2 linked regions of the Drosophila melanogaster genome follow. The protein of the gene in region 2 interacts with the protein of the main gene of each other region in a pairwise test. Each region holds a gene or a part of one and is shown on either strand. Other genes may lie near its edges.

Evidence for each region.
Region 1: the proteins of Set8 (region 2) and hb interact in a two-hybrid assay, tested with the Drosophila melanogaster proteins (one large-scale study listed by BioGRID).

Annotation. Positions count from the first base shown.
Region 1 is NT_033777.3:8,690,751-8,700,691, reverse strand, and holds hb (hunchback), read left to right. Parts: upstream 1-2,869; 5' UTR 2,870-3,366; intron 3,367-6,091; exon of another isoform or gene 6,092-6,236; intron 6,237-6,519; 5' UTR 6,520-6,537; coding exon 6,538-8,814; 3' UTR 8,815-9,203; downstream 9,204-9,941. UniProt on the Drosophila melanogaster protein: Gap class segmentation protein that controls development of head structures.
Region 2 is NT_033777.3:14,313,433-14,322,108, forward strand, and holds Set8 (SET domain containing 8), read left to right. Parts: upstream 1-2,605; 5' UTR 2,606-2,771; intron 2,772-2,878; 5' UTR 2,879-2,948; intron 2,949-3,044; 5' UTR 3,045-3,179; coding exon 3,180-3,435; intron 3,436-3,506; coding exon 3,507-5,326; 3' UTR 5,327-7,062; downstream 7,063-8,676. Other genes in the region: CG31321 (uncharacterized protein), read left to right, coding at 58-175, 387-543, 610-742; Crz (corazonin), read left to right, coding at 1,504-1,718, 1,928-2,177; Afti (aftiphilin), read right to left, coding at 8,354-8,676. UniProt on the Drosophila melanogaster protein: Histone methyltransferase that specifically monomethylates 'Lys-20' of histone H4. H4 'Lys-20' monomethylation is enriched during mitosis and represents a specific tag for epigenetic transcriptional repression.

The DNA.
Region 1 (9,941 bases), 5.6 Mb from region 2:
TAACATTTCGGCGGAATTTTAACGCAGCCCTCTCGCTTTCCACCCATTTTCGTGGGCGTAACCCGCGAGCACTTTTCGCATCTGATTTATGCGAAATGTTAATTTTTGCGGCTTCCTAAGGGCTTCGACATGCCGGAGAAGTGTGCAAAATTCACCAGCGAATGTAGCAGAGATTTGCAAGTGTTTTTTTTTTTTTTTGCTACCTAAGGACCACAGGACTTTTTGGTAAATTGTTTGGTTTTGTTAGGGAGTAAACCACGAAGTGACTGAGCACAACGTTCTAGTCATATATAAGCGATAAGTATTATGAATCGAATACTTACTGTCGTTTCAAACTACACCAAAAATTATAAATTCAACATTTTTGAAAAAAAAAAAAACTAACATCATTGAACCTATCCTTTTGGATAGGTTTCTAATTGATTCAATACAGGATTACTCTTATATAATCTAAACTTTTTTAATCAGCTTCCAAAACCTTTAAGTATGCAACTACTCTCGAACAGCACTCTAGCCAACAGTAGCGCATAAATCTAAGTAATTGTGTGGCGAAACCAATTTGCACTTAAGATCAAAGAGCCAAATCGCCGTACAATAACCACACAAACCAAAACAGCCAAAAAAGAGAATCCCCTTCAGAAGGAAAGAAAAAACCTGAAGTAAAATGGCAAATCATCCTTGGCATGAAATCAGCTTACGAACTCAAGGTGATATCTCAACAGGCCGCAGGACAAAGGTCAGCAGAAGAGTGCGCCAAATCAAAACACAAAAAAAAGTGAAATCCTAATGAGATACTCCCTCCAGGGGCGAATCGGTCGACCACAAAATCCCAAGCGCTTGGCTGCACATCTTACAGATACATTTGCATATCATTTGGGAGATGCGAAGATCATGAGATAAAGATGTGCGGATCCGCCCTGTTGATCTGCCCAATCTTCCCCTCGAAGGAACTTCTGTTGAGACAGCCGCAGGCCAAAGGTTAAGGATAAGGATCATTTGCATGCGTGGCATGGACTTTCGGCAATTAGACGATCATGATCATCAGCATGTTTGTGTTTGTCCCGATCACCGGATAGGTATATCGCAGCTCATCAATTAAAAGGTCAAGCGTGACGGTCCTTGGGACTATTTGTTATGTCCTTAACTTCAACTTTACATAACTTTCCAAACGTAACTGGGTAGGATCCACACAGCACCCGCCCGCCTAAGCAACGCTAATCGGGCTGATCAGCGAACGCTAATCGCTCGGGACTAACTGGATCCTCCGGATCAGCGGCGCTGATCCTGCGTGATCCTGCGTACTGCGTAATGTTGGATTATGTCCTGTGCAGAAGTACGGCCAACTTTTAAATCGCTTTTAAATCCACATCACTCTAGTTCCAGTCGCACTTCTTCGGATGCGCGGATTAATGAACTGGGCGGGCCGATCAGGTAGCTTTGCGTCCTTTAATCCTTTCTTCGCTAAGTCCGGTTGCAGTTCGTATTCGTAATCCGGTTTGCCATGTCAACGTCAATGGCAGGTCTACCTCCGGTACTACCTGTTCCCGAGACGTCCTTTTGACACATATATTCCTCTGGATATGTGAGAGCAACTTGTATAATTTGCATTCCGGCGGCGATTTGTTTGCTCTGTTGTTTTGTAAATATTGCTTTTACATTTTCCCCACCCCCTCTGCCAACGCCCTAATTTCTCCCCGTTCCACTTTAGTTTTAGCCAAAATATTCGACATAAACAGGAGATTTTAGCCCAAATATTCCACATAAACAGGAGATTGAATAAAATAGCTGGAGGCACATTAATTCCGAACTTAATTATGAATTTGCATGTATGTTTTCTTTAGAAAAACTCTGATCCATACAAATAATAAGTTATCCTTTTGTATTGTATAGAGAAAAAAAGGTTTTTACCAATGAACTATGAATAATGAATAATAATAATAGTTTTTTTTTTTAGTCCAAAATTTGTCATTAAACCTAGTTAGAACAATCGCTCCTAATTTATCATTCTAAAAGCGAACATTCCGCTTGGGAAAAAAATTGGTCTAAACCGAATGATACTATTAATGATATGCATTTATTGCTAACCATAATCCTTGTCAAGCTAACAATGATACATTTTCCGAAATTAGCTTAAAAAGGTGGAATACACCCAATATGCACAAACTACCTTAAGGAGATTTGGAATTTCGAATGCTAATTGTGGCAAAGCTTTGCCCAAATTAAGTTAACACGCACAGCAACAGGAAAATGTGTTAAAGCAACAAGGAATCTCCTCGGCCCAAACTTCCATCGTCCCAATTGCAGTTGGCTAAGTTGTTAATGTGTCTGGGCTTAAAGTTGCCCAAAAAACAATTGGCGAAGGCCCCCCATCTTCCTCCATTTCCGCTCTCTCACTTTTGGGCCAGAAATCAATAATCAATAGTGAAGCGGAGATGCCAAAAAACGGCAAAGAGCCAAAAAGGCAGCTGCATTCGGCCAAAATGCAGCGCCAGAAAATGCAAAAGGATAAAATGAGCGAGTCAGAGCGAGAGAGTGGGTGAGTGAGTGAAAGAGCGAACGCCACGAAGGGGATGCTGTTTAGTTATTGCTTTTGGGGATGGGGAAAGTCACTCAGATTTACAGCTAGCATCCGTATCCGTTTTGAGTGAGTTTCGTCGTTACGTTGTTGATGCTCTCCGGCTGCTCTCTCATTTCGATTTCTGCTTCTCCGTGTAACGGCTCTCGTGCGCCTTTGTGTTGTTGCACTTCTGGCATTTGTTTTTGCTTTGCAATTGAGATTTTAGATTTGAGTTCTTTTTTGGCGAGTGCACTGTTGTGAGGAGCAGTGAGGAGATTTTCAGCTATTAGAAGAGCCCGCTGAGCGTGAGTTTGGTCAGTTGTGCTCCGAGTCCCGAAAACGAAAGTCGCCAGCATTGACAGGCAGCCACTGAAATACAAAAATAACCAAACATCCAAAGGACGAAACGTAACTGCTATCAAAACAAATATTGCCATTAAATACAATTAAACTTCGTGCTTGTGCTAAAAGATAACCAATTGCAAAAAGACTTTTGTCCCGAAAACTTATTTTTTGGCAAAGACCACATCCCGCACATGCGCGAATTCCGCGAAAAAGAAAGCACAAAAGCAAGCTAAAAAGCGAGGCCCAAAAAATAGACAAAAACGAAGAGCAAGGAGCCCCCACATCGCCGCTCCCCCTCGCACGCACTGTGCGTGTTGGTCTAACGGTAACCGTGCCGCGGTCAAGCGAGAGAGTGGGAAAGAGAGAGTCCGCGAGCGAAAAGCGAAAACTTACGTGCTCCTGCTCCTGCTCCCGGTTCCCGTTTCCAAATTCTCCCGCAGAATTGCACTTGGACTGTCCGCAAGGTAAGTAACTGGGCGTACCATCCAATATCCTAGTTATACACTGCATTCGACCTCCAATAAATCGTAAAAAACACATGGAGGTAGAAATTCGCAAAAGCTTTCCGCGGATAAACAAATAAACAAGAATTACAAATCGCTTTTGCGGGAGCAAATGCCAAAATGTTGGGGTATCCAGAATATACACAGTTTTTGTGAGGATTTACATACGCCCTGTAAATTTTAATTTAGTTCTCAATTGATACGAAATCTGTTTTTTTTTATAGAATATATTCGATATATAGTTGTTTAATTATAATTCATCATGTGATATACTTTCAAAAGAAACAGATTTAAATAGTTCGTTTATATGCTATTATGCACTATGCTTAATGTATTTTACTTTATTAATTCATGCTAATCTGATGACTGATAACCAATTTGCTTATTCTATGTCATAATCACCTTTAATCCCAAGTACTCAACTTTCTTCTAGTTCTGCACATTTTCTTGTTCTCTTCTTGTTGTTTGTAATCGAGTGCTTCTTTTTCTGTCTAACCTTAGGAACACAAACAAGAGATCTCACACACATGCACACACACAACCACACAGAGTGGTAAATCATTGCTAAAAATGCAAATGGCAAAAATTCTAAAACAATATTTTAAAATCTGTCTGGCTTTTGGCCGATCTTCGGGTGAACTTGTTTTTTGCCCGCTCTGTCTGTTTTTGCCTAGAACTGCAGCGTATATCCAACCCCCAACCGACCCCCCCCCCTCCTCATTTGCTCCTCCTAAGCAACGCCCCTGGCCACGCCCCCCTCTACGCCTGACAGCTAATTTTATTTGTTTACATGTCGACTTTCATGTTGTTTTTTTTTCGCCTTCCTGCCCCCCAAATAACCCCTTCAATTTTTAGCATTTCTTTTCGCTCTTCTTTCGGCAAATGCATTTTCGACTTTTCTTTTTTAATAATTTAAATTTAGACATCGAACTATAATTCAAAGTCAACGTGGCAATTTTTTAATGGCAAATAGTTCGGCACTTGCCAAAATGCATTTCAAATATAATGAATACACCTATGTGACGCTCGCAGGCTTTGTTTTTTTTTTTTGTTTAGGATGATGATGGGAATCATTATTGCACGATCTTTTGCAGAATTGATTGTCATCCGACAGTTTTAATGTTTGCCGACAAAAAGAACTGAGCGCATTTCAAACAAATGGGGCTTTGTTAGGCGCATAAAAATAAATATGCACATATTATACGGGATATATTTATAAACCGCAAATGACATTGAATCACTTCAGTCAGCAGCAGCAGTGCAGTTTTCCCTAAACGAATGCAGCTCCAAAAAACAACAAGTTGTTCTAAGCCAACAACATAACGGTTGCAACTACACATATGTATACGCATACATACATATATTTTATATACGCCTGCAAACAAGCAGGCATATCCTGCTCTTGGCTTGCTTTTTGTACGGATTTTTCAACAAAAACATTTTTTGTGTGGCGCATTTTCTGCGTTTTCGAATTTTTCCATTTTTGCCATTTTCATGATATTTTTAGAGGGTTAAAAAGGGGGCGGTGTTGGGGTGGGGGGGGAGGCACCAAAAACGACTAGCACATGTTTAGTTTACTTTTGCAGTTTCGGTTGCCTGGCTGCACTCGTTGTGGCCACACCACGCCACTAACCCCCACTGCATGGTCCCCATGCCCCCACCCCTGCCCCCTTGGCCCATGCCCCTGCCCGGCGTAATATTAATTTTACACTTGGCCTTTAGTTTGGCTTTGTTGCTGTTGTTGGGCATGGCACAAAAAAGCCCAGACGAAAGGCGAAAATTCTCTTTGTTTCATAGTGCGCACACACACTAACACACTTGCCGAGCAATTAATTTTGGCTTTCTTTAAAAATATCCACAAAAGCGAATTTAAATAAATATGCTAAGCTTCATTTTGTGTGGTGCACTTTCTGTTTCCTGAACCATCAATTATGCCTAAGTATTGTAGATATTTTAGCTGCCAGATAGCACAGCACCATCCTCCCATAATAATATTCCGTAAATGCCCCTTTTTCCCGTTTTGCGTTTTTAATAATATTTACTTGAAAGCACAAACAATTAGCCAAAAATGCAGCAACTGCACAATTTTTCAGTGTGAAATTGGAAATGGAAAAAATATAGGCAACAAGCAATTTTAATGCGAGAATTATTAGAAAAACTACGCAAATCAAAGTGAAATGTCTGGCGGAAAATTGTTGTCAGGAAAATGTTTTTCAAATGGGTGTGTAATAATTATACTGCACATATTATGCATATAGTTTAGTTGGTCCTTAGAGTTTTCCCGCAGGTGTAAGCAGTTCTGATCCGTTAATTTAGTTAAGTCCCGCAATCCTTTTTACTTTTTATTATTAACTACGAAACTGCCCACGCTAGCTGCCTACTCCTGCTGTCGACTCCTGACCAACGTAATCCCCATAGAAAACCGGTGGAAAATTCGCAGCTCGCTGCTAAGCTGGCCATCCGCTAAGCTCCCGGATCATCCAAATCCAAGTGCGCATAATTTTTTGTTTCTGCTCTAATCCAGAATGGATCAAGAGCGCAATCCTCAATCCGCGATCCGTGATCCTCGATTCCCGACCGATCCGCGACCTGTACCTGACTTCCCGTCACCTCTGCCCATCTAATCCCTTGACGCGTGCATCCGTCTACCTGAGCGATATATAAACTAATGCCTGTTGCAATTGTTCAGTCAGTCACGAGTTTGTTACCACTGCGACAACACAACAGAAGCAGCACCAATAATATACTTGCAAATCCTTACGAAAATCCCGACAAATTTGGAATATACTTCGATACAATCGCAATCATACGCACTGAGCGGCCACGAAACGGTAGGATATTGTTAGCCATTACCAAGTGTCTCCATTTTGAACACAAAATCACTCAAATCGCCTTCAGGGGGTGGGTGCCGCCCAGCCACCCCTGACGTATTTTTTGTTAGGGGTGGTGCCGCAAGCACACCAAAAAAAGAGAAAAAAAAAATAAAAGCGAGGAAAAATAAAATGAAAAACAAGCGGAAAAAAAGAGGAAAAAACTCGACGCAGGCGCAGTGCATGAATGAATAAATGAATATGCCCACTAACCCCACTCTCTCTGTTTTCTTATCCATTACAGCCGTCTAGAGCCGCCAAGATGCAGAACTGGGAGACGACAGCCACGACCAACTACGAGCAGCACAACGCCTGGTACAACAGCATGTTCGCGGCAAATATCAAACAGGAGCCAGGTCATCATCTCGACGGGAATAGCGTGGCCAGCAGTCCGCGCCAATCGCCCATTCCCTCGACCAATCACCTGGAACAGTTCCTCAAGCAGCAGCAGCAGCAGCTTCAGCAGCAACCCATGGATACCCTGTGCGCCATGACCCCATCACCCAGCCAAAACGATCAAAACAGCCTGCAGCATTACGATGCTAACTTGCAGCAACAGTTGCTGCAGCAACAGCAGTACCAGCAGCATTTCCAGGCAGCCCAGCAGCAACATCATCACCATCACCATCTGATGGGTGGATTCAATCCGCTGACGCCACCTGGTCTGCCCAATCCCATGCAGCACTTCTATGGCGGCAATCTGCGACCCAGTCCGCAGCCCACGCCCACATCTGCCTCCACAATTGCGCCCGTTGCAGTTGCCACTGGCAGCAGCGAGAAGTTGCAGGCACTAACACCACCCATGGATGTCACACCGCCTAAGTCGCCGGCCAAGTCGAGTCAGTCGAATATTGAGCCGGAGAAGGAGCACGATCAGATGTCGAACTCCAGCGAGGACATGAAGTACATGGCCGAGTCCGAGGACGATGATACCAACATCCGGATGCCCATCTACAATTCGCACGGCAAGATGAAGAACTACAAGTGCAAGACCTGCGGCGTGGTGGCCATCACCAAGGTGGACTTCTGGGCGCACACCCGCACCCACATGAAACCAGACAAGATCCTGCAGTGCCCGAAGTGCCCGTTCGTCACCGAGTTCAAGCACCACTTGGAGTACCATATCCGGAAGCACAAGAACCAAAAGCCCTTCCAGTGCGACAAATGCAGCTACACGTGTGTCAACAAATCCATGCTAAACTCGCACCGCAAGTCGCACAGTTCTGTGTATCAGTACCGTTGTGCGGATTGTGATTACGCCACCAAGTATTGCCACAGCTTCAAGCTGCATCTGCGCAAGTATGGTCACAAGCCCGGCATGGTTTTGGACGAGGATGGCACCCCGAATCCCTCGTTGGTCATCGATGTTTACGGCACGCGTCGTGGTCCGAAGAGCAAGAATGGTGGACCGATTGCCAGTGGAGGAAGTGGCAGCGGCAGCCGGAAGTCAAATGTTGCAGCTGTCGCTCCGCAGCAACAGCAATCTCAGCCAGCTCAGCCAGTCGCCACATCTCAGCTGAGTGCCGCCCTGCAAGGATTCCCTCTGGTTCAAGGCAACTCCGCTCCTCCGGCGGCATCTCCAGTGCTCCCGCTGCCCGCCTCTCCTGCCAAGAGTGTGGCCAGTGTGGAACAGACGCCCAGCTTGCCCAGTCCAGCCAATCTTCTGCCTCCTCTGGCCAGCCTTCTGCAGCAGAACCGCAACATGGCCTTCTTCCCCTACTGGAACCTCAATCTCCAGATGCTGGCCGCCCAACAACAGGCCGCTGTCTTGGCCCAATTGTCGCCAAGAATGCGAGAGCAACTGCAGCAACAGAACCAGCAGCAGAGCGACAATGAGGAGGAGGAGCAGGACGATGAGTACGAGCGTAAGTCAGTGGACTCTGCCATGGATCTGTCCCAAGGAACGCCAGTGAAGGAGGATGAGCAGCAGCAACAACCGCAGCAGCCGCTGGCCATGAATCTCAAGGTGGAGGAGGAGGCCACGCCTCTGATGAGCAGCTCGAATGCCTCGAGACGCAAGGGACGCGTCCTCAAGCTGGACACCCTGTTACAACTGCGATCGGAGGCCATGACATCTCCCGAGCAACTGAAAGTACCCAGCACACCCATGCCAACTGCATCCTCGCCCATTGCCGGACGCAAACCCATGCCCGAGGAGCACTGCTCGGGCACCAGTTCGGCAGATGAGTCGATGGAGACGGCCCATGTGCCGCAGGCCAATACCAGTGCCAGTTCGACGGCGTCCAGCTCGGGGAACAGCTCCAATGCCAGCAGCAATAGCAACGGCAACAGCAGCAGCAATTCCAGCAGCAATGGAACCACCTCAGCGGTTGCAGCTCCTCCATCCGGAACTCCGGCGGCGGCGGGTGCCATCTACGAGTGCAAGTACTGTGATATCTTCTTCAAGGACGCCGTGCTCTACACCATTCACATGGGCTACCACAGCTGCGACGATGTGTTCAAGTGCAACATGTGCGGCGAGAAGTGCGACGGACCCGTCGGCCTCTTCGTTCACATGGCCAGGAATGCTCACTCCTAAGTTCCCCATCACCATCACCTTGTTATTATTATTTATCACTATTATCATATAATCGTTGTCCAGAATTGTATATATTCGTAGCATAAGTTTTCCAAACATTATTTTGTTGTCGAAAATTGTACATAAGCCAATTAAGCCGCTAATTCTAGACCTAAGTTTATCTAACTATCCTAACTGTATTGAACTGTAGCCACCTTTCAATCTGTCTCCTATACACTCTTGTATTTTCGAAATCGACTAAAAACCCTGAAAACGGTTTAAAAACTATCATAAATGCATGGAGAAACATAAGCCTAAGTTAAATCTAATTTGTAAGTTGAGTCAAGCGAAACAACCAAACAATACCAACAGTCCAAAGTCAAATTAATAAAATATAGTTTATAACATATACATAATGAGTATGTTTTCTAAAATAATTAATTAGTCTTATTTAACCTAACATATTCGTATATGCGCATAACACTCAGTTCTTTCTCTGATATTATTCTCTCAGTATTTTGTTAGTTGAAAGCGAATTCGAATCGAACGAAATCAAATCAAATAAATCCAATTATTCAATATAATTTCACAAGTTTTTCGCTTTTTTTTTTTGTTGTTAACCTTTTGGCAATAATGACAATATTTTCGATGCAACTGAAACTGACGAAAGAAGAAGTACAAATTTAGAGATTTTTAAAGAGTAGCTAAGATGCGCGAAATCTGAGCAACGGATCAAAATTAGTATTTACCCCATAAAATCTAAGTCGAGGTCATGAAACGAATTTCGAGACTTAAGATGTGAGCCCAGTGTAATCCTTGATAAATCCCATTTTAAGTAAATTAAACTAGTCTAAGATATTTGCCCACGAAATGTTTTTATGCAATAACATAATAAAGATGAAGATATTATTATTATTATACCTGACTATGACTTTAGCTTTCATTATTATATATGGTGTTTTATTTAGTGCGTTGTACTATGAACACTCATACATATCCTGGAGATTCCTTTAACTTTCTTCAACAGAACCCCAGCATATTATAATATATCCCTTATCCAACCATATGGCCAAGTACTGACCAATGGAACTGTCAACACGCGATCTTTAAACATGATTTATCGCAAGCGATCACCCTCACCAAAAAAG
Region 2 (8,676 bases):
TTTTAGATTCTAGTTGGAATTCAGTGGTATATATGCATAGTTTTTGAATTCCTGCAGGCCTTCTCCAGCAGCACTGCCTCATTTTACGTTGCTGGTGTGGTGGACATGTTCGTCAGTCTGCGAGTGATTGCCATCAAGACCATCGGTTCGAGCATTGTGGCTGGCGACGAGCTGAGTAAGTTTACTAAGGTCAACGCTATAGTCTCGACTATAAGATACCGGTTAGTCAGACGAGAGAGATTGATATTCAGATAGCAGAATTTGAATGCTTTGGAATGCAGTTGAAATGTGGTTGCGTCTAATTAGTAAATACACTTTCGGGCTAAGCTACTTTTAGAGTGGATTTTATTTTTTTAAATAAATAATAATAACTAAATAATTTTCAGGCAAAATGTACTCCATCTTTGGCATCAGTGAGCCAATTGCCCAATTCATTTTCCCGCCAATCTTCAGTGAGATTTACAAGAGCACGGTGGATTCATTCCCAGGTGCCATTTGGCTCTTTGGCGAAATCTTCTACATTCCCAATGTCTTGGTCTTCGTGTAAGTTATTTAAGGTTTTCATAAGTTAACTCTAAATTTATAAATGATTTTTTTTTTTAATTCTAGTGTGTGCTACTTCCTGCTGCGGCGTCGAAAGGCCAACGAGGAGAAGAGCGTCGTGGAAATGGAGCAGAATGGTGGAGCAAATGGTGGCAATCGGGCAAGCGTGGTGCCCGATAGCGAAATAACTAGTCTGTAACGTACTTAATGCCAGTCCGTGTTATATATATATTTTTATATATTTATAATATAAATTGTATATTTTTTGTATATTTATAGGGAATTTTTATAGCATTTTATATTACCAACGAGTTGATCTTTAACTTTCATTTGCTGAAAGTGTGAGTTTAAAGTTAGTAAGCATATTAAAAACAGTTGTAACTAGTCCACATATAACTTAATTAAAGTCGTTGCTATTTTTGGCCGAGTCCATTTGCAAATCCATTTACCTGAGGTCATCCAAGTCTAATTTGGACATTTTACTCCCCTTTTGGAGTGGGAAGAAAATTACTTTTTCGGCTCAAGCATTTTATTTTAAGCCTTTTGCCTTTTGCCTTTTGCCACCCACTTTCGGATTTTGCCCGGGAAAAGTGGTAGTTTTCCAATCAGCAAATGCATTCAGTTTGAGCAGCCAGCTGTCGTTGGTACAAGGGGCGGTGGCGGCAGCTGGGGGCGTGGCCACATGTGGGCGCTAACTGCCAAGTTGAAACAATTGGGTGCTAATAATCCCCGGTTAATCTGGGTAAGTGTGTGTTTCTGGAGGGCATTGAAGCAAGGATTCTGGAGGAAAACGCAGACACATCACGCATCCTTTGGCATCAATCCTTAATGGCTATCTAACAACGATATAAAAGCCCGTCGAGGAGCATCAATAGTTCAGACGCAGTTGTGATTCGAACGCGAAAGGAACCAACCGAGATTACCGAGTGTCCTGCAAACAGGACTAACTTCTGCCGAAACATGTTGCGCCTCCTGCTGCTGCCCCTCTTCCTCTTCACGCTCTCCATGTGCATGGGCCAGACCTTCCAGTACTCCCGCGGATGGACCAACGGCAAGAGGTCCTTTAACGCCGCATCTCCCCTCCTGGCCAACGGCCATCTCCATCGGGCCAGCGAGCTGGGACTCACGGATCTCTACGATTTGCAGGATTGGAGCAGCGATCGTAGGCTCGAGCGGTAAGTTTCATCGAAAGAATAACAGAAATATACAACTTTATTTTTAAAATACATAAAGAATATGATAACCCAAAAACATTCCATTAGATACCTATTAAAATCATATAACTAAGGAATTATATATTATAATTGCCCTACTTATACACTTCATTCCTACTTATTTTCTTGTTTTTTATGTATTAAAGTAATATTTTAAAATTTTCCTCCAGCTGTCTATCGCAGCTCCAACGTTCACTGATTGCCAGAAACTGTGTCCCCGGTTCGGACTTCAATGCCAACCGAGTAGATCCGGATCCCGAAAACAGCGCCCATCCCAGACTGAGCAACTCTAATGGCGAGAATGTTTTGTACTCAAGTGCCAATATCCCCAACAGACATCGCCAGTCCAACGAACTCCTAGAAGAGCTGAGTGCCGCTGGAGGAGCATCCGCCGAACCCAATGTGTTTGGAAAACATTAGCCACTATCCGTTCAATGTGAAATCTATTGTAAACTAGCAAAAAATGCTACAAAAATGTAAAAAAAATTGTTGTAAACGGTTAATAAAACACAGGATTTTTATGAATTACTTAACTGTCTTTTTTTAATATCCAAGAAGAGTATTTTAAATATTTAAATAGTGTAAATAATAGAGTTGTTTCAGATACCATTTACATGAGGTCATTAGAAAATGTATGTAATAAATCCAAAACCTTCGTCTTTTTCTAATGGTACCATTAGACCACTTAGATATAAATAATTCATATTTAGTCAAATTGATTTAACATATCTTTTTCAACTTAATACTTTAGTACTGCCCAACACAGCTTTAAAACATGCTGAAAATATGAAAATATACTGAATTTGGTATTACAAAATGAGGCCGCATACACGAGAGGTGAAAGCAGATGCGCAATCTGGTAACACTAACCGACGCAAAAAAGAAAGAACCAAAAAAGTTTGCGGAAAAGTGCAACAATTAATTTCCCCCGCCATTGAAATGCTGCCATGCATAAAGTCGATCGCATCCGTTTAAAAATGCGCTTCTGCGTATGACGACAGTTTTCCGAGCGAGGTGCATTGCGGGGACTCACATTATTTTCCCTCTTTTTTTCCCTTCTTTTGGTCTTCTTCCTCTTTCGCTCGCTTCGCACAACAACAATAACGACTACGTTTTTTCAGTGGCGAAAACTGTACGCAAGAGGGGCGAGTAGAGGAGAAAAGTGCATGGCAGAGAGCGAGAGTAAGAGAGGTAGAAAAGGAGGAAAAAAAAACACACATGTAATGTGCAATTGTTTTATGAGTTCTACGTTAATTTTGTTGTTTGTTTTTTTTCGGTTACCTTCAGGTAATTGCAGTTTGGTTTTTCCGCGTGTGCGTGTGAGAGGTAAAACGCGTGTCCAGAAAAAAACGCGCCAACGCCAAAAAAAAACCCAAGTAACTACCGCCCACACAGCGATCACGCGCCCCCAACCCATTTTAAATGATAATGGTGCGAAGACGACAACGGCCCGCCAAGGAAGCCGCATCCTCATCCTCTGGTGGAGCTTCCTCGGGATCGGGAATTCCTGTTGACCAGGCACTGCCACTGAATGTGGCGGGAAATCTGCTGGAGGATCAGTATTTTGCCAGCCCCAAGCGGAAAGACTGCCGTTTGATGAAGGTCACTCAAAATGGCCAACTGCCGGAAGCCACAATGATGGCACACAACAAAGACAACAAAGCGGGTCGCACAATAGGTGAGTACGCTTCTCGTACTTTTTAGGTTAGCTGTGTTGGCTAAAATACCCCTTGTTTGTTATTTTTCAAGGAGTTCCCTTGGCCACGCGCTCACAAACTCGCACCATTGAGAACTTCTTCAAAGCCAATGCTGCCGCTAAGGATTCCCAAAAGACAATACACACAGAGGAGCAGTTGAATCTAGGAAATCAGGAACTGAAACTGGACGATGAGGAGCTAAATGGACAGATAAAACTAGATGACGAGGTGCTAAAGCTGGCAGACAAGCAGATAAATGAAAACCTTCCCTTTGCCGACGAAGTAGATGCCAAGGCAGAACAAAAGCTTATGGATGAGGAACTGCAGCAGGTGGTGGAGGAACTTCTGTTCGATGGCAGTTCCAGAGCGTCCTCCAATTCGCCCTTTTATCAGCATGATATGGATGTCATGCAGGAGATCCAGCAGACTCCAGAAATTCCACACATCAAAAAGGTCACAGAGCCGCTCGAGGGACTGGGCTCTCTGGCCGACTTCCAGACACATCGCTCTGCGCTGAGGGACAGCCACAGTTCCACGCACAGCAGCAGCACCGACAACATCTTCCTGCAGGAGCCGGTACTGACCCTGGACATTGATCGCACGCCCACCAAAGCCTCCAGCATAAAGATCAATCGGAGCTTCGAACTGGCCGGAGCCGTATTCTCATCACCTCCGTCGGTGCTAAACGCCTGTCTCAATGGACGCTTCAATCAAATAGTAAGCCTGAATGGACAAAAGGAGGCGCTGGACTTGCCGCACTTCGATTTGGATCAACATGACAGTAGTTCTTGCGACAGCGGAGTAGCCTGTGGTCTCACTGCCAATACAGAATCGCCAGCGGGGCAACCCCGACGCAGAAAACCAGCCACACCGCATCGCATCCTCTGCCCCTCGCCAATCAAAACGGCTTTGAAGGTAACTGGAGGGATTTGCAAGGTCGGATCTGCGGATCCATTGTCGCCGCGCAAGTCTCCTCGAAAACTGCCGACCACAACAGCAGCGGTGGCAGCCTGCAAGTCGCGTCGAAGACTGAACCAGCCAAAGCCACAAGCGCCTTACCAGCCACAGCTACAGAAACCACCGTCACAACAGCAGCAGCAGCAGCAGGATGATATCGTCGTGGTGCTAGACGACGACGATGATGAAGGAGATGACGAGGACGACGTTCGAGCCCTGATCAAGGCTGCCGAGGAGCGTGAAAACCAGAACAAAGCACCAGCCACAGCGAACAGCAACAAAGCAGGCATGAAAACGATGCTCAAGCCTGCGCCCGTGAAATCAAAGACCAAAAGCAAGGGGCCAACGAAGGGACAACCGCCGCTGCCCTTGGCTGCCACCAACGGCAATCGTGAGATGACGGACTTCTTCCCGGTGCGAAGGAGTGTGCGCAAGACTAAGACGGCCGTCAAGGAGGAATGGATGCGAGGCTTGGAGCAAGCAGTGCTGGAAGAGCGCTGCGATGGTCTCCAAGTACGCCACTTTATGGGCAAGGGAAGAGGCGTAGTCGCCGATCGGCCCTTTAAACGCAACGAATTTGTGGTTGAGTATGTGGGAGATCTCATATCTATAGGCGAAGCCGCGGAACGGGAGAAACGCTATGCGTTGGACGAGAATGCTGGGTGCTATATGTACTACTTCAAGCACAAGTCCCAGCAGTACTGCATCGATGCAACCGTTGACACCGGCAAGCTGGGGCGCCTCATCAATCACTCGCGGGCTGGTAACCTAATGACCAAAGTAGTACTTATCAAACAGCGGCCGCATCTCGTACTCCTGGCCAAGGACGACATCGAGCCGGGCGAGGAACTGACCTATGACTACGGGGACCGATCGAAGGAGTCACTATTGCACCATCCTTGGTTGGCCTTCTGAGGAAGAGCTCTCCAGGAGCTCGCGAAAGGGGTTGCGGTACAGCCTTAAAACGAAGACTATTTACCATGTTCAGGGCAGAGAATCTTTAAAATAATAAGACCTGGGCTAAACTGGTTTTTGGCTCGAGGGAATCTTTCTTAGCTTTTATACGTAGATTGCCTTGCCTTGAACCACTGCAAAATTGTTTTCAGACCTGTTTCCGTGTGATAAGTTGCCGGAATTTGATTCATTTACAAAGTTTCATTAAGCAAAATTATATCAATATTGCAAGCACTTATATTTTTGGTAAGACCAATTCAATCATTACGAATTCCGGCAATTTGGATCGGAATGGAGAGAGGCGTATTTGACACCGGTTCTGGGCAGCCCCGAGCTTAGATCTTATTTGAGGAAAAGTATATAAACTGTTAGTTCAAAATATCATAACGGATAGCGAAACCCACACGCCCCACACCCAAGGGTGGTTCCAGCCAGGGACGAAAAGTAATCAATGTAAATTCTAACAAGTTTGCCTCAGAAATAGGTCTAATGTCAATTTCGATCTTCGGCGTTACCAAAATAAGTTACAAATGAAGTTAATATTTCCCTTTGGGTCAGTGAAATAATCGAAATTATCAATTAAGAACAAATTTATCAAAAAGACCTAGACTATACAGATTGTAAATTGATATTAGACCCATGATCCCCAAAGCAAAATGCCTTTAAATTGTACGATTACGATTCAATCCCTATAAGACTCATTATCGATCCACCCGTGATCCAAGCAACCCCCCCCTCCCCCTCCCTCCTTACACAAACTCATGAGCATCTTTTTGGATTTGTTAGCGTTTCATTATGTTTAGAGCAAGGCTAAAGTTAAGGAGAGATAATAATGATAATAATAATAATAAAAACAACGCGCTTAAGCATTAAGGCATCTTAAGATAATTGAATGAAATCGAAAAACTGTTGACCATTTGAAAAGAGATGATGATGTTGATGAAGCCACGCATTCACATTGACAAGAATCGATTGTACACTATTTATATAGATATTTATATTAGATACATGTGTAATTTCTAACTATTACGTACTATTTACTGCCATAGAGCTATACACTCCCCCTCGCACCTGTCCCAAAAAAAAAAAAAAAACCCCTAGGAACTGACACTACTGAATTGTTGATTTAACCCATTGACACACTCATTAATTCTCGAGGCTTCTCCAGGAGAGTAGTGGCCTGCTGGACACCTAGTGCTTCGACTTACTGATAATCTCTCTACTTACACGCAGGTTTCAATCACACACTCAAGCAATTAAATGATAAATCACCCCGCCCCTGCCCCCGAAAATACGGCATCGTTAGTTAATCGACTTAGTTCAAATTTGTGTTGTCCCATTTGAACCAGATTTCTGTATTTTAAATGAATGCTCCAATATATTGAAGGATTTTGTTTTTTTAAATAGGTTTATTTTAATCAGCGCATATCTTTTAATTATACAATATGGTAAATATATTTTAATACGTTCTAGTACATAGGTAATTCATTTATTTAAAACCAAGCAGCAACCATCTATAATCATGTTCTTGTTTTTACCTTTTTTTTTCATTGACTTGGCAAAATGAAACAAAACAAATTGAAATCTATTTGTAATTTACATTTAAGCCTAAAAACATATGATTACATCAAACACTTAGTTTTAGTCGATAATTGTTTATAATTTTTCAGACACACACACACACAGACACATTCAACTTAAAGTGCGTAACATAAAGTAAAATAAATAAATGAAAACACATTAACACGAACAAAACAATAATCAAGAACTGGAGCGGATTGGGTTTCGTTTTCCAGCGATTACCTGGAGATCATCATGGCAACCAGTCACACTCATTTACACTTGGAATGCATGGGAGTTCTTCTATCAACTAACAAATCCTATTTCATATACAACACGTTAACTATGTTTGCTTGGTTAGTTCGCTTTCCTGTCGCTTGTTATAAGTACACAATATAGAAAAAATTCGCATCAGGCGGGTTGGGTTTTCATCCATGTGGTGGTGGTGGCCCGCAATCGCATTGGAGTATTTGTTATGGATATACAAAAGGGGAAGTTCGCCGCTAGTGGAATGCATTTGTAGGCTTTGCCGCAGGGATTAACTGATGATATTCCTCAGATAGGCGGAGTTTTCCGATTTAGGGTTCTAACTTTGGGGTTGATTAAAGCTAAAATCATCATGGAACTAATAGTTTTACATTTTTAAAAGTAATGCCGATTTTTTCCTTACTTGGGATACTTCCGAAATCCTTGTTATTAATTTGTATCTTTTCTTTTTTGGTCATCTATGATAAATCTTATGTTGTTATATTGATATGACCGCATAGAGATATTGCATGCTATCGGATGCATAAGCTTAAACCTTAAAATCTCGCAGGATTTCAGAAATATCCCTTAAATTACATAATTTCACTGGTGTGCGGTATTCTTTTTCGTTTTACTTTACAATTCTTCTAGAGTTTTTTGACTTATTTACCCAATAATTCGAATTCTAAAAGTATATCCGATCATTTAAATAATATTAGATAAAAACAAAGAATTTTTCAAGCATACTAACAGTTTTTTCGCTCTACAAAATATTATTTTTCAAAAGTATAATTTTTTTCGTCAAATTAAGTAAAACATAAATTTAGAATCAAACTATAGCACAAAATGGTTACTTGTTTGTTTCGTTCTAAATCCTGATTTTTACGCCTAAGACTACAACATGCATGCACAACAACAACAACAATTATGCCAACGACAAGGTTAACAACAACGACAACAACATGGAACACAGCTTGCCTCAAAACTACAATGTGTGACGGTTCGGATTATGGTGAATATCAGACGGATTCATAATACTGACTGGCTACCCGGGTGCGCGATCGATCCTTTCGCCTATGTGAGGATGGTGGCCTCGCCGCCACCCAGTGGGCGAGGAGCGCCCACATGCGGACGCTGCTGCTGCTGCTGGAGCCGCCCACCGCCCACCCTCAGCTTCTTGTGTCATTTCTTGCCACCGAAAGTGGGTTTCGGTAGCGCACCCATGAACGCACCAGCATTTGTGGGCAAGGCCGGTGCAACGAAGCTGAGATCGGGGATCAGGGAGATGCGTGGAGCCACCTTGGCGTTGCCGATTTGGAACTGCTGCCGCTGATGCTGCTGCTGGTAGGTGGCACCCACACCCAATCCTCCAGACACGGGTGCAGTCGAGAAGTCGTGCATGATGTGTATTTGCTGTGGAATGGCTGGCACATTGTTGTTATTGCTGCTGCTGGTGCTGCCCTTGGGCACTAGATTGCTATGAGGCTGTTGCTGCAGCTGCTGCT